Linked DNA regions of Lonchura striata. The protein of the gene in region 1 purifies or fractionates together with the protein of each later gene. This does not show direct contact. Links are inferred from orthologs where the notes say so. Each region holds a gene or a part of one and is shown on either strand. Other genes may lie near its edges.

What was found. Proteins that work in one complex are often made in the same cells at the same time.
Region 2: the proteins of VAPA (region 1) and ZFPL1 purify together in Homo sapiens (co-immunoprecipitation; 3 studies listed by BioGRID and IntAct, counting the BioPlex papers as one, with this or other methods). This does not show direct contact. The link is inferred for Lonchura striata from reciprocal best matches to the Homo sapiens genes VAPA and ZFPL1.

Annotation. Positions count from the first base shown.
Region 1 is NC_134603.1:51,864,875-51,872,465, reverse strand, and holds the start of VAPA (vesicle-associated membrane protein-associated protein A), read right to left. Parts: upstream 3,013-7,591; 5' UTR 2,934-3,012; coding exon 2,858-2,933; intron 1-2,857. UniProt on the Homo sapiens protein: Endoplasmic reticulum (ER)-anchored protein that mediates the formation of contact sites between the ER and endosomes via interaction with FFAT motif-containing proteins such as STARD3 or WDR44.
Region 2 is NW_027461085.1:30,897-38,105, forward strand, and holds the start of ZFPL1 (zinc finger protein-like 1), read right to left. Parts: upstream 3,002-7,209; 5' UTR 2,937-3,001; intron 2,669-2,936; 5' UTR 2,663-2,668; coding exon 2,561-2,662; intron 2,370-2,560; coding exon 2,258-2,369; intron 1,686-2,257; coding exon 1,492-1,685; intron 1,390-1,491; coding exon 1,202-1,389; intron 178-1,201; coding exon 9-177; 3' UTR 1-8. Other genes in the region: delta(14)-sterol reductase TM7SF2-like, read left to right, coding at 5,221-5,241, 5,345-5,401. UniProt on the Homo sapiens protein: Required for cis-Golgi integrity and efficient ER to Golgi transport. Involved in the maintenance of the integrity of the cis-Golgi, possibly via its interaction with GOLGA2/GM130.

The DNA.
Region 1 (7,591 bases):
TACAAGAGCAGAATTTTGCCATGAGGCAAATTCTCAGTGCTCCATGCTCTGAACCTGCTATTATGTAGTTTATTAACCGCCTCTTGGTTTCATCACTTTTAAGTACACTTTTTCCCTTTGTCACATTTGCACAACACTATGAGAAGTACTTATTTGTTTTGTGAGTTTTCTTAAGATATTCTTGGTTGTTTCAGAATCCAAAGAAACTCACCTACCAAAGGGGGACAGAGAGAATTAACCATGACCCGAACACTATTAATGACTGAAATTTCTAGGACTACAAGCACTATCAAAACAGGATTGCCATCGTGGACACCAAGGGAACTATGTAATATGTTAGCTACCACAGGACATGTTCTTAGAACTCCCCTTGAATTGTGCTGAATAAAATTCAAGGATAAATGTATTACAGACCTTATGTTTGCTGACAGGATAAATTAGGTTAGATTAATAAAAAAAGCAGTTTCATCAGGTCATGATGAATTTAAAACCTTGTTAACAACTCGTTAAGATAAGTACTACATATCTTTTAATAAAACAGTTGTTTGTAAAGGGGCACACTATCACATTTCACTGTTACCCTAAAGGTCAGCAAATCCATTTTAACTTCCTGAGGCAAGAAAACCAACAAAATTATTTGTTCAATTCAAATGTTTAGATGTAAACTGGATCTCTGTTACATATGCATCAACGATACTAGTAATAATAAAATGGATGACTGTACCAATAAAATAACTTTGAACAGCACTGAAAAAATGTAGCGCTTTATTCTTTTAACAAAGTTTTGTGCTTTTCTTACACTATGCTATATTTATTCTGAGTCATACATTCTCTTTCTTACTAACCAATTACTTTTTAAAAGGTGACACTCAGAATTCACTGCTGTCAATATTGTATTCTTCAACACAGTACTTTAGAACTGCATTTGTTTGTGGCACACAAACCTTTTTAAACACCTCTAAGTAATAAACAGGTAGAAAATATTTCTTGAGAGTGCACTCAATGCTCTCTCAATTCATAGCACTTTCTATAGTATATTACTACAATAGTACAGTAACAGAGTACTGCAGTCTCATTATGCTTCATATTTTGTTTTTGCTTAGTCTGCTCTACAGAAATTTTCCTAATATATGCATTAGCCTGAAACTAAAGTTTATGCCTAAAGAATACACATTTCATGCTCTAAGTACATAAACACACAGCACAATAAAGATCACTGACAACAGCTTCACACAGAATTTCTAATCTAGTATTTATTCTATCAACACACTCTTTCATATCACATCAATATTGTGTAGTTCCAGCTTAAAACACATCTCACCATTTGCAGGCTACAAATCGGACACAGTATCTTCTTTTAATTGAAAAAAAAAAAAATTAAAATAATACATTTTCCCCCAACCTGTTCTTGCATCAACCTGTTCTGACCACAGCATTTTAATTTAGGCAGCATTTTAATACCCAAAAACCAAAGTGAAAAATCACAAGTTCCTGCAACGGTTTTGACTCTGTGTAATTTTTAAAAAGTGCAATTTAAAAAAAAAAAATTAAACTGAAGCTATCGAGAAATTAATACACATAATTATACAGATGTTGGGTTTTAATTGATCTGACGCATCAATAAAACAAGTATAGTTTGCTAATTTATCTAAATGCTAGGCCAGAGCAAAGCTATTTTGGGGGAATACAGTGTTCTTTTTAATACAAACATTCATTTGTTCTAGCTGTCCGTAGAAGATTTTTACAGCATCGTAAATTCCACTCTGTCCTCTAAAAACAATGAAAAATGAGCATACTAAAAGTGGAAAACAGAAGAATGCACAGGATTAGGCATGTACATGTGCTGACACCAACCACAACAATTTACAATGTTATTTCACATAATATTAACTACTTTTTTTTTTAATAAAAAACCTAATACTGATGATTCCAAATCTGAAAGGTTCTGAGATTTTTCTCAATGCCCCTTACAGATATAAGATATCATCACAAAAACTACATGTTCTGACACACTTTTCTTTATGCCCCTGCCTTTCAACGATCACTCACTTCTGACAGAGCCTTTCCTTTCACAACTACCTAATTCATGAGGAGAGAAAACCACAGACACACACGATACCAGCGCTAGCTGGGACCTATTTTGACAGCAGCACGTCAGCAGTCACAGCCATGCGGCCGGCACGCAACACACATAAAACTTCCGAAAGGCACGCATTCCATTTCCCTCGCTCCCAGGAAAGAGGCGAGCTCCCGAGTTACGTTCCGATAGCCTGCCTGAGACGCGACAGCTTTGGGGAAGGGGCGGGGAGCCCTTTGCCGGGCTGGGACGCAGCGGGGCGAGGGCGCGGGTGCCGGGCACTGACGGTGCAAAGCCGCACCGGCTCCGCGCGGACACCGGGGCCCCAGCACGCCCGAGAGAAAAAGCGGGGCAAGGCCAGACGTTAGGGCAGCCTCGTGAAGCCTGGAACCCCGAAAGGCTTCCACCGCCCGCGCCAGGGCCTCTCCTGCCCGCTGCTGCCAGAGGGACCGGAGAGCAAACCGCGTCCCCGGGCGCCGCTGCTCGGGGCCGGGCCCGCGAGCGCAGCGGCGCCACGGCGGGGCGGGGCGGGCAGGGGCGGCCGATCCCACCCGGCACCGCGGAGCCCGCGGGAGCCCAAGATGGCGGCGGCCGATCCCGCTCGCCGGCTCGGCGGCGCCCCCCATCCCCCGGCGGGCGGGCAGCGCCCGGCAGCGCGGCCCGCCCGCGGCAGGCAGCGGGAACGCGGCGCCCGGAGGCGGCCCGGCGCCCAGGCGGAACGGGACACCCCGCCGCCGCCGCCCCTCTCCCCGCCGCCGCGCCGGCTTCCCCCCTCCTCACCTTTGAATTTGAGGTCGGTGGGCGGATCGAGCACTAGGATCTGCTCGTGCTTCGCCAGAGCCCCAGCGGCCGCCATCTCGCTCGCTCGCTCCGGCGGGAGGAGGGGCGGAGGAGGCGGAGGAGGAGGCGGAGGAGGGGCGGAGGGGGCCGGCGGTGCCGCCGCTCCCTCACGGCGGGCGGGCGGTGCCTCGGCGCGGCTCTGCGGGCTCTGCCGGCGGGACGCGGGCCGAGGGCGGGCACTGCCGCTGCTGCTGCGCGCCCCCGAGCGCGGCCCCGCGCCCTCCCAGCCCCGGCAGCACCGCCCCCTGCGCGGGCACGACGGCGGCGGCGCGCCCCCCCGGCCTTCCTTGTGCGCATGCGCCCGGGTGCCGCGGGGTCGTCCCACACACACGGACAGCGGGACACAGAGGGACGTGGAAACACAGGGGCGAACGCACACACCCACGCGCAATTCCCTTCCACTCTGGCGGGTAGAGCGAGTCAGAATCCCAGAATCAGTTGGGTTGGAGATCATGGGGTCCAACCTGTGACAGGACAGCACCCTGTAAGGCAGAGCACAGCACTCAGTGCCACGTCCAGTCTTTCTTTAAACACCTCCAGGGACCGTGACTCCACCACCCCTCTAGGCATCACATTCCAATACCTAATCACTCTTTCTGTGAAGAAATTAGTCCTAATGTCCAACCTAAAGCTCTCCTGGTGGAAGTTGAGGTTTTGTACTGTCATCCTATTGCTAATTGCCTGGGAGACTGACCCCTACTTGGCCAAAACCTCCTGTCAGGCACTTGTAGAGGGAGACACGGACCGCCCCGAGCCGCCTGTCCTCCAGGCTAAACACTCTCAGCTCCCTCGGCTGCTCCTCACAGGACATGTGCTCCAGACCCTTCACCAGCTTCATTGCCTTTATCTGGACACACTCCAGCACCTGAATGTCTTTCCTGAATTGAGTGGCCCAGAATTGGACACAGTTCTCAAGTGCAGTCTCACCAGTGCTATATATAGGGGGGAAATCATTGTCCTGGTCCTGCTGCCACATGATGCCTGATAAAGGCCCGAATGCCATTGACCTTCTTGGCCACCTAGTCACACGCTGGTTCATGTTCAGCTGCTGCTGACCAGCATCCCTAGACCCCTTTCTGCTGAGCACTTTTTCCAGCCAGTCTTCCCGCAGCCTGTAGCGCTGCAGGGGTTGGTGTGACACAAGCGCAGGACCTGGCACTAGGTCTTGTTGAACCTCACACCATTGGTCTCGGCTCATTGATCCAGTCTGGCTTCCCCGGCACTGCATCTTATGCCGGTCCAGTCCCCACAAGCAGCGGTGGCTGCGGCGGAGCGGGGAGAATCATCATCCCCGCTCCTCGCCTTCCCAAGCACACACACACAGTTCGGGATGGAGCGGGCAGGGTGCCGCTGGCTCGGCGCTTCGGGCAGCCGCGCCGGGAGAACTACAGCACCCGGCATGCCCCGCGGTAGTAGCGGGACCTGCTGGGAGTTGTAGTCTTGGAGGGGACACCGGGCGCCCTTCCCTCGGGCCTCAGGGGCATTGGCTTGACCGGCCTTTCCCTCTAAACTGGAGAAGGGAGAGCGAACCTGGGTGGTGGGTCCTGGCAGCGCTGGTGGCTCGGACACGGGTCAGTGCTGTTCATGGGTGAGGCAGTTCCCAGATGCTGCCATGTACCCTCGTTTAAAAATAAAATTTTCAAAAATTGTAACAGTTTGATTGAAGACAGCATCTTGAAAAACATTGCCACTTGCATCTCTGTAGTTGAGATTAATAACCAGACCGAAAAGACAACCAGACATAGGCTCAGCAAGGATGAAGGAGTACTCAAACGCGGCTTGTCCCTGTGGTGGAACTACTGTGTTCAGAGAGAGAGAGCTGTGAAGTTCTGGATGTAAAAGTGATATTCTTGAGGGTACCGGAAAGAAGCATCAAGAGACTCAACATTGGGATGGCTGGGTCCAGTCCTGGGCACTGTCATGGATGGCCTGACCTTCTGGCCTTGAAAACAGCCAAAACCATTAAAGTTGGAAAACTGTCATTACATTAAGTCTTAGGAATATTAACAGGGAATAAATGGACCTGTTTAGTGTAGAGAAGAGAAGACAGAAGGGATCTCATGTAAGTGTCTCAAAGGTAGGTGTCAAGAGGATGGTGCCAAATTTTTCAATGGTGCCCAGAGACAGGACAAGGAGCAGTGGCCATAAACTCAAACACAAGAAGTTCCATCTCAACATGAAGAACTTTTTTATATTAAGGGTCACCGAGCACTGGAACAGGGGAGTTATAGAATCTCCCTCTCTGGAGACATTCAAAATCCACCTGGATGAGTTCCTGTGTCACCTGCTTTAGGTGACCCTGCTTTGGGAGGGGGTCTGGACTAGATGATCTCCAGACGTTTCTTCCAACTCTTCCAACAATTCTACAATTCTGTGAAAAGTTGAGAGAGACTGAGCTCCTGCAAAACCTGAATGAGAAATAAGAGCTATTATGTATTAGTAGGCAGGAACATGAGTTGTTTCCCATCCTCCTTGCTAACACTTTTTGTCAGATACAGTGTTGTCACTGTGGGCCTTTTCATTAGTACCATACTTTCAAGCAGATGGTGCATCCTGGGGTATTTGAATGTACCAGCAACAAAAAAACAAATAAGAAAAAACAGTTAGACAGTTAAATCCATCCAAAACTTGATGATTTCTGTGTCCTAAATCTGCTTCTGAAGAATTCTCCTGTAAGAGATATGTTTGTATTCATGCAAAGTTGGAGTACAGGTGAGAAAAATTTAGTCAGAAGGACTAACACATTTTTTCTCTCTTGCAAAATCTGGTGTAGGTATGCTAAGAACATATATAGGGACATAATAACCCATTTCAAAAATATGTCCTGATAATAAATACATTGAGAGGACTTAAATGGTTTGCATTCAAAATCAGCTCTTCATAGTAATACTTGTGGATCACATAATTTCTTTGGTGAATACCTGTAGTTCAGCCGAGCCATGAAGGAAGGACTGTGGACTGGGAAGGCTGGGGAGGCCCTCTGAGTAATTTAGGTTCAGGTTCTGCCTTGGAGCCCCCACCCTCCACTTCAGCTGCCTGCCCCTCCTCCAGGCCTGCCACCATCATTCCTACATACTTTTTTCCACACCGCTCTTGCCAACACCAAAACCCACATGATTTTAATACCATCACTGCCTGAAGAAGAAACAAGTAAAAAGTGCTCTAGAAAAGCACCTCAGAGCAGGTTTGCCTGATTGAAATTGGCTTCAAAAGGTGGAGTTACATGACCTATGTGTGAAAATGCCGCTAGAGCTCTGCAGCTACTCTGGCTGCAGGTTTTTTCCAGACTTACTTTATAATGCACATAAAACAGCATCTTAAATTACATCTTTTATTTACAGTGCAATATTTAAAATTGTTATCTGGTGGTCTGTTGGGCTTTGTTAACAAAACAAATGTTCCACTCTGTTTATGCATTCTTACCCTTGGGATCTGGAAGATAAACTGGAAAACAGAGGTTTTTCATCTTCTGTCTTAACATAGAAGAAGAATGTTAACTCTGTTATTTCCACTCTCTGTTTCTGTTCGTGAATCAAGCAAAGATTAAGCCATAGTGCATGCTTCTCAGAAATAGTAATTCAGCCTCCAGAATTACCTGCTGCTTATGTACCAGAAGAACTGGGTCTCAGCTTTCATAAAATCAAGACATGGGAAATAGCTGCAAAATGCTGAATGCCTCAAAAGTTTCTGTCTTTTCTCCTTTTAATGAGGTTAAAAAATAACAGTAAAGAGTACAAATGCAAAAGAAGTTTCGAAGTTTCCGCCATGCATATTTACAAGACAGAAGTATCTCTGTTGCGCAATTCTTCTACACATCTCTTGTTTAAGAAAAACTGAGGAAAACCAGAAGTTTGGATATCTCCTTAGTATGATAATAGGATTTAGAGGTTTTCCCATGCAAGCACCCTGTTAGACATGGCTGTGCAGTAGATGGGACTGACATCAGGGATGTGCATGGTTTGGGGGAAGGCTGGGTTGGTACTTATCAAAAGCATAGTGAGAGGCAGTGCATGAAGAACAGAGCACAGTCCCAAGCTCTGGGGGGATGTCACACAATCACTGAGTCTGCAAAGGACCCCAGTAAGGCCACAGTTTAATTTCCAACTCAAAGCTGTTTTTTACTGTGGTCTTTGTTGTTGTTTGAACACATTTTGAAATTTACTAATGCATTGATCTGTTTTATTGCATTTAGTATAATTTCTGATCTAATGCTTCTATTTCATCCAGACCGATGTAATTTTTATATTAAAACAACACCTGTGCTGTTGATCAGCAATATCTGGCAACCTTCTCCAACATCTGATTCATTTTGTTTCATCACCTCACAGCTCAGGAATGAAACCTTGGATCTATTGCAGTTAATAGAACTCCTATAGCTGATTTCAGTGAGATAATAATGTCATTCCAGAAGTGCTATTAGTGTATTCATCACTGCTTGCAAAAGGATTAAATTTGCTTAATCTGAGGTCAACATTTGTCCTGTGTATTTGTAGATTTTGATGGTTTTCACTCTGCAAATTTAGTATTGTTGTTATAATATCTCGGTTTCGAGATAGTTTGACATTTTTCAAAACTGTTTACTCTAAAATATTAAATAAGCACTCTCTGTTCTTGAGAAGTATTAGAATAGATTGAGTTTCTTAATAGCTTTTTCCTGTTTATTGTGCAGGTTGT
Region 2 (7,209 bases), on another chromosome or scaffold:
GGGCGTGGTCAGTGCCCCACCCGCACGTGCGGGTTGTTGAGCGGCTCGAGGGCGGGGTCGGAGTCGGCCCCGCCCCTGCCCAGGCTGGCCAATAGGAGCAGCAGCAGCGCGAAGGCCGCGGCCCCGCCCAGGCACAGCGCCAGCAGGGGGCGCCGCGGGGCCCCGCGCGCGCGGCACCTGCGGGGGAGGGGTCAGAGAGGGGGGACCCAAAGGGACCCAGGGACCCCTGAAGGGAGCCCAGGGACCCCTGAAGGGACCCAGAGACCCCCCAAAGGGAGCCCAGGGACCCCTGAAGGGACCCAGGGACCCCCCAAAGGGACACAGAGACCCCCCAAAGGGAGCCCTGAAGGGACCCAGAGACCCCCCAAAGGGAGCCCAGGGACCCCTGAAGGACCCCCTAAAGGGACCCCCCCAAAGGGATCCCCCAAAGGCACCCCATGCCACCCTCAGAGTGACCCCCCCAAGCGCCCCCCGGGTCCCCCCCAGCCCCACCTGAGCTTGGGGGGCAGCCAGGCCAGCGGCCGCCGCCGGTATTTGTCCTCGTCGTGGTCGGGGGGGCTCCGGGCCTCACGGCCCCCCAGGGGCTTCCGTGGGGCAGAGCCTGGGGGGAGAGCACGGGGACCCTAAAAACCAGCCCGGGCCGGGGGACCCCCAGCGGTGCCCCCCGAAGCCCCCAGACTCACCGGCGTGCAGCGTCGGGGTCTCGCCCCCCATGTGGACGACGGCGTGGGGGGCTGGGGGGCTCGGGGGGGGCTGGGGCGGCGCCAGGGGGGCTGCGGGCACAGAGCTGGGCATCGGGGGCTGCCCCGGGCAGGACCCGGGGGGGCTTCAAGGGGTTGGGGTGCGCCAGGAAGGATTGGGGGGGTGGGGGTTGAGATGTCCCAGAGGGTTTTGGGGTCCCATCGAGCCGCTTTGGGGGAGGGATGGGCCTCCAGGAAGGATTTTGGAGGTCCTGGGAGGGTTTCGGGGGGGTCAGGGTTCCAGGGAAAATTTTGGGGGTCCTTGGAGGGTTTCTGGGGGGTCAGGGTTCCAGGGAAAATTTTGGGGGTCCTTGGAGGGTTTCTGGGGGGTCAGGGTGCCTGGGAGATTTTTGGGGGTCCTGGGAAGGTTTTTGGGGGGTTCCAGAGCAGTTGCCTAGTCCCAGGGGGAATTTGGGGCTCTCAGAGGAGGAATTGGGGTACACAGGGATCATCTCGGAGGGTCTCTGGTGGGTTTTGGGATGCTGGGGGGGCTCAGCTTCCCGGGCAGAAACGCGGGGGTGCTCCCCAGGGGCTCTGCAGGGTCCCAGGGGTGCTCCTGGGGGTGTTTTTGGGGCAGCCCCGCACCGTCCCAGCCCCCGTCGGGCTCCGTGGAGGTCTCGGGCTCCGGCAGCTCCTCCGAGTCCTCGATCTGGGGGGGTTTGGAGCGTTTCAGGGCGGGGTTTGGGGCACCCTGGGCAGTTCCGGGGCGGTGTGGGGACCCCCCGGGAGCCGTGCCCACCCCGGCACTCACCAGCGGCAGCCCCAGGCCGGGCCGGGCCCACGGCGCCGTCCGGAGCCGCGCCCGCAGCGCCTCGGCCACGGGGCCCTGCAGGTTGGGGGGCGGGAAGAGCGGCCCCCCGCACTGGGGGCAGCGGTGCCCGGCGGGGGCCGTGCTGGGGGGCAGCGCCCGCGCCCACGCCGCCAGGCACGGCCAGTGGAACACGTCTGGGGGCAGGGGGAGGGTCAGGGGCACCCGGGACCCCCCGAGCCCTCCCCGGGCCCCCAGGACCCCCGAGCCCCCTGGGACCTCCACCCACCCTAACAGGCCGGCTGCACGGTGCCCCCCGAGCCCTCCCCAGACCCCCGAGACCCCCAGAACCCCCCGTGCCCCCCGGCCACCATAGCAGGCCAGAACCCCCCGAGCCCCCCAGAACTCGCCATGCCCAGCCTCATGGTGCCCCCCAGGACCCCCCTAGGACCCCCCAAGACCCCCCGTGCCCCCCACCCACTGTAGCAGGCCAGCCTCATGGTGCCCCCCAGGACCCCCAGGACCCCCCGTCCACCATAGCAGGCCAGCTGGACGGTGCCCACCAGGACCCCCTTAGGACCCCCCGAGCCCCCAGGACCCCCGTGCCCCCTGCCCGCCATAGCAGGCCAGCCAGACGGTGCCCCCAGGACCCCCCAGGACCCCCTGACCCCCCGTGCCCCCGCCCACCATAGCAGGCCAGCTGGACGGTGCCCACCAAGACCCCCCCAGGACCCCCCAAGCCCCCAGGACCCCTGTGCCCCCTGCCCACCGTAGCAGGCCAGCCGGACGGTGTCGCGCTCGCCCAGCGGCGCCCGGCACAGCGGGCACTGCGGGCTGTAGTCGCTGTCCTGCAGCCACTGCAGGTATGACCGCACGATGCACTGCGGGACACGGCGCTCAGCGGGCAGCGGGGCACCCCGGGACCCCCACAGCCCCGCTGAGAGCCCCAAACCTTCCCCAGCCCCGCAGAGCCCGCTGAATCCCCCCCAGTGCCCCCCCAGAGTCCCCCCGAGCCCCCCGAACCTTCCCAGCCCCCCGGAGCCCCCCAGAGCCCCCAGAGCCCCCGCCCCACCTTGGGGTGCGCGCTGACCAGGCAGCTCTCGCAGACGTTGACGCGATGCTCGAAGCAGAAGAGCGTGGTCACCCGGCGCTTCGGGCACTTGCACAGCCCCATGGCGGCCTGGGCGGCGCCGAGCCGGCAAGTCGGGGGGACCGGGGGCTCCCGAGCCCCCCGGAGGAGCTGCCGCTGCCCGGGACCCCCGGACCCACGGGACCCCCGGACCCACGGGACCCTCCCGGACCCACGGGACCCACGGGACCCCCGGACCCACGAGATCCCCCCGGACCCACGGGACCCCCGGACCCACGGGACCCCCGGGACCCCCGGACCCACGGGATCCCCCCGGACCCTCCTTGGATCCCCCAAATCCCCCCAAACCCCCCCTCACCGTTCCTATGGCGACCGCGCTGCCCCGCTGGCGCTTCCGGGTGCGGCGCCCCTGGGTGACGTCACCGGAAGCGCGGCCGGGCTGCTGCGGCGCGCGGCGTGACGCCACTTCCGGCCGTTCGAACGGCCATGGCGGGAGCCGCGGGCGGGCGGCGCTCGGCGGGGGCGACTCCGAGGGGTGAGGGGGGCCGGGGGGTGCCGGGCGGCATTTGGGGGTGGGCTGGTCCCGAGGGGGATTTGGGGCGGGGGTGGGGCTGGGGGCGCCTTGGGGGGACCCCGAGGGAATTTGGGGCTGGGGTCGGTTCACGGGCAGGGCTGTGGGCCGGGGGTGTCCGTCCTGCGGCTCTGGGGGGGCTCTGCGGGGTTTGGAGTGTCCCTGGGGCGGTCCCGGGGGTCGCGACCCTCGCCCCCCACCACGCCCCGCACCTTTGCCCCCGCAGTGCCGCGACACAGCTCCGAGCGCTTGGTGGTCTCGTCGCCCCGGGGTGGCCCCCCCTGGGGACCCCCACCCCACAGCCCGGTGAGTGGGGGGCTGGGGGACGGTTCTGGGGGTCGGGGGTGGGTCCCCAAGGGGTTTGGGGGGGGTCCTAGGGGCTGGGGGCTCTCAGGGGCATGAAGAGGGAGGTCCCAGTGGGTTGTGGGGGGTCCTGGGGGGTGTTCCAGGAGCCCCAGGGTTTGGGGGGGGGTCCCGGGGTTTTCGGGGGGGCGTCCCGGTTTGGGGGCTCACAGACCCTCTCCCCTCCCCCACAGGACTTGGACCGACCCCGACGGAGCCCCCGGGTGTGTTGGGGGGGAGGGGGCTGCGGTGGGGATGGGGGGGTCCTGGTAAGGCCGGGACCCCACCCTGCCCTTCCCTCCCCCACGCTGACCCCCCCTGCCCCCCTCCACAGCTGCAGGCCCAGAAGGAGAACGACCCCTGCCCCTCCCCGTCCCCCTGCCCTCCCCTCTCCCCGCTCCCCTCCCCCATTGCCTCCCGCGTCCGCCGCTCCTACAGCCGCCTGGAGCCGGGGGGGGGCGCCCCGCGGGGGCTGGGGGGCTCCCCGCTGAGCCCCCTCCCCCTCAATCTGCCCCCCGAGCCCCCCCAGATCCCCCCCCTCGACCTGCCCGGCATCAGCGGCCGCCCTGAGCGCAGGAGGAAGAAGAAGGTGACGCCCATTGACGTGAGTGATGCCCCCTGGGACCCCCCGGGACCCTTCTGTGCCCCCCCTGTGCCACCAGGACTCCCCTGTGACCCCTCAGTGCCCCTATTTACCCCCCCCCCCAGACCCCTAAAATGCCCCCCTAAAGTGCCAGGAGTCCATGACCCCCTCAGCATCCCCAGACCCCCCCATGGATCTGTGGGACCCTCACCCCCCTGACCCTCCCCCCTGCCCTGCTGCTCCCCTCAGCCCCCCTTTTCCCCCACTGACTCCCCAGTGCCCCCCATCCCTGTGCCCCCACTGCCCCCATCCCCGTGCCCCCATTCCTGTACCCTCATTCCCCAGTGCCCCCCATTCCCCCGTGCCCCCATTCCCCAGTGCCCCCCATCCCCATGCCCCCATTCCTGTACCCTCATTCCCCAGTGCCCCCCATTCCCCCGTGCCCCCATTCCCCAGTGCCCCCCATTCCCGTACCCCCATTCCCCAGTGCCCCCCATTCCCGTACCCTCATTCCCCAGTGCCCCCCATTCCCCCGTGCCCCCCATTCCCGTACCCCCATTCCCCAGTGCCCCCCATTCCCGTACCCTCATTCCCCAGTGCCCCCCATTCCCCCGTACCCTCATTCCCCAGTGCCCCCCAGCTTCCCCGTGCCCCCGCAGCTGTCGGAGCTCGAGGCCTGGGCCTCCTCCATGAACGCGCAGTTCGAGGAGGCCGAGAGGTTCCCGCTCGTCGTGGAGTGACCCCGAGACCCCTGGGGCCCCCCCGTGCAGGAGGGACCCTCGGGGGACCCTCCAGACCCCTGTGGGACCTCTCCAGGCCAGAGAGACGCCTGGGGACCCCCACGGGACCCCCACGGGACCCTCGGGACTGGGGGGTCCTTGTGCGGGGACCCCCCATGCAGAGCCCCTCCCCTGCCCTGTGGGACCCTGAGGTGAGACCCCCGTGGGGGGGGAGGGGCCCCACATGTGTGGGACCCCCGGAGCTGTCAGCCCCCACACCGCCCCCCGTTTGTTGCCCATTAAACGAGTTTTTGTCGTGGGTCTGCCGTGTGATGACGTAACTCGTGACGTCACAGAACACCAGAAAAGGGTTACTGTCTCTTTAAGGGGGGCGGGGCGGCGCTGCAGCCAATCCGCGCGCGGCACGATGACATCACCCACCTGGGAGGCGTGGTCATCGCCAAGCCACGCCCCCAGAGGCGGAGATTGCGCGCCCCGGACCCCCAAAATCCCCCCAAAATCCCCCCAAAATCCCCTCGTCCCTCCCCCAGCCATGGAGCCCCCCCGAGCACCTCCCACCCCCGAGCTGGAATTTGGGGGGCCCTGGGGTAAGGGGGGGTTCAGTTTTGGGGGGTGGGGGCACAACTGGGTCACTTTTTGGGGAGGGGGAAGGGAGCTCCTGATGCCTTTGGGGGCTGAGGGTGTCGAGAGCCTGGGGTCCCCTTTGGGAGGGGCTGGGAGTCTGGGGTCCCCTTTTGGGGGGCTGGGGTCCCCTTTGGGAGGGGCTGGGAGTCTGGGGTCCCCTTTTGGGGGGCTGGGGTCCCCTTTGGGAGGGGCTGGGAGTCTGGGGTCCCCTTTGGGAGGGGTTGGGGACCCCTTTTGGGGGAAAGGGGGCACCCGGCCCTCAGACCCCTTGTGGGGGTGGGGGGGGAGTGACCCTTTTTTGGGGAGGGGGACACACCCAGGCCCCTTTCCTTGGGGGGTCCCTGGGTCCCTTTTTGGGGTGGGGTCTCACCCGCCCCCCCCAGGCGCGGGGGCTCTGACGCTGCTGCTGCCGCTGGGGCTGGTGGGGGTCGTCAGCGCCTGCGTGGGGGAGGGGGAGGGCTGGGGGACCCCCGCCCTGGCCCTGCCCACGGCCCCCGCGCTGGCGCTCGTCCTCGCCTGGGTGGGCGCGCATGCGCTCGGGAGCTGCTGCAGACCCCCGAGGGTGAGTGGGGGGCACGGGGGCTTGGGGATTCGAGGGGCATGGGGGGTTTTGGGGGGTGGGGAATATGAGGGGGATTTGGGGGGGATGTGGGGATTTGGGGGGGCTTGGGAAATTTGGGGGGTGGGGGATATGAGGGGGATATGGGGATGCAGGAATTTGGGGGCGCTTGGAGTATTTGGGGGGATTTGTGGGGTGGGAGATTTGGGGGGTGGGGGCACGGTGGGGGTGGCTTGGGTGGTTCCAGGGTTCTGCAGACACTGAGGAGGGGAGTGGGGGGGGGGTCCCGGTGGGTCTAGGGGGTCAGGGCGGGGGGTCAGGGTGACTCTGCTGTCCCCAGAGCCCCGGTGACACCCCAGGACCCCTGCGGGACCTCGGCTGTGAGTGGGGGTCCCTGGGGGCCCCTCTGGGGGGGCTGGGTGGGGGTCCGAGCCCAGGGTCCCTCGGAGGGGTCGGGGGTCCTGGTGGGACTCGGGGGGGTGGCCCAGGGTCCTTTTGGGGGGTTGGGGGTGGGCTGGGGGCTCGGGCGTCCCTTCGGGGGTCGCAGCTCTCCCTGCCGCTGGCTCAGGGCTCCTGGCGCTGGGGGGGGCGCTGGGGGGGGCTCTGGCCCTGGGGGTCCCCCTGCCCCCCCTGTGCCCCCTCCTCCCCCCGCTGGCGGCGGCCGCGTCCAGCGTCGCCTTCGGCCTCGGGCTCGTCCTCCTCACGCGGCGGCGACTGCGGGGGGGGGGCACCGGTGAGCGGGGGCCTGGGGAGGGGATTTGGGGGGCTGGGGGGGCTGGGGAGGGGATTGGGGGGGTCATGGCAAGTGGGGGGTCTGTGGGAGGGGATTGGGGGGCTCGGGGGTGGCGGTGGGTGCTGGGGGGCCAGGCTGGGGGGCTCTGGGCATCCGGGGGGGCTCTGGTCATCCGGGGGGGCTCTGGGTGTCCGGGGGGGCTCTGGGTGTCCGGGGGGGCTCTGGGTGTCTGGGCACTGAGGCTGCGCCCCCTCCCCCTCCAGGACACCTCGTGTATGAATTCTTCGTGGGGGCAGAACCGGGGTCCCCGCTGGAGCCCCCCGAAAGTCTGCACTGGGAGCGGGTCGGGCTCTGCGCCTGGGTACGGGGCACTGGGAGCGACTGGAGGGAACTGGGGGGCACTGGGGGCGACTGGGAGGAACTGGGAGCAACTGGGGGGTGACTGAGGGGAACTGGGGGGCACTGGGGGCGACTGGGAG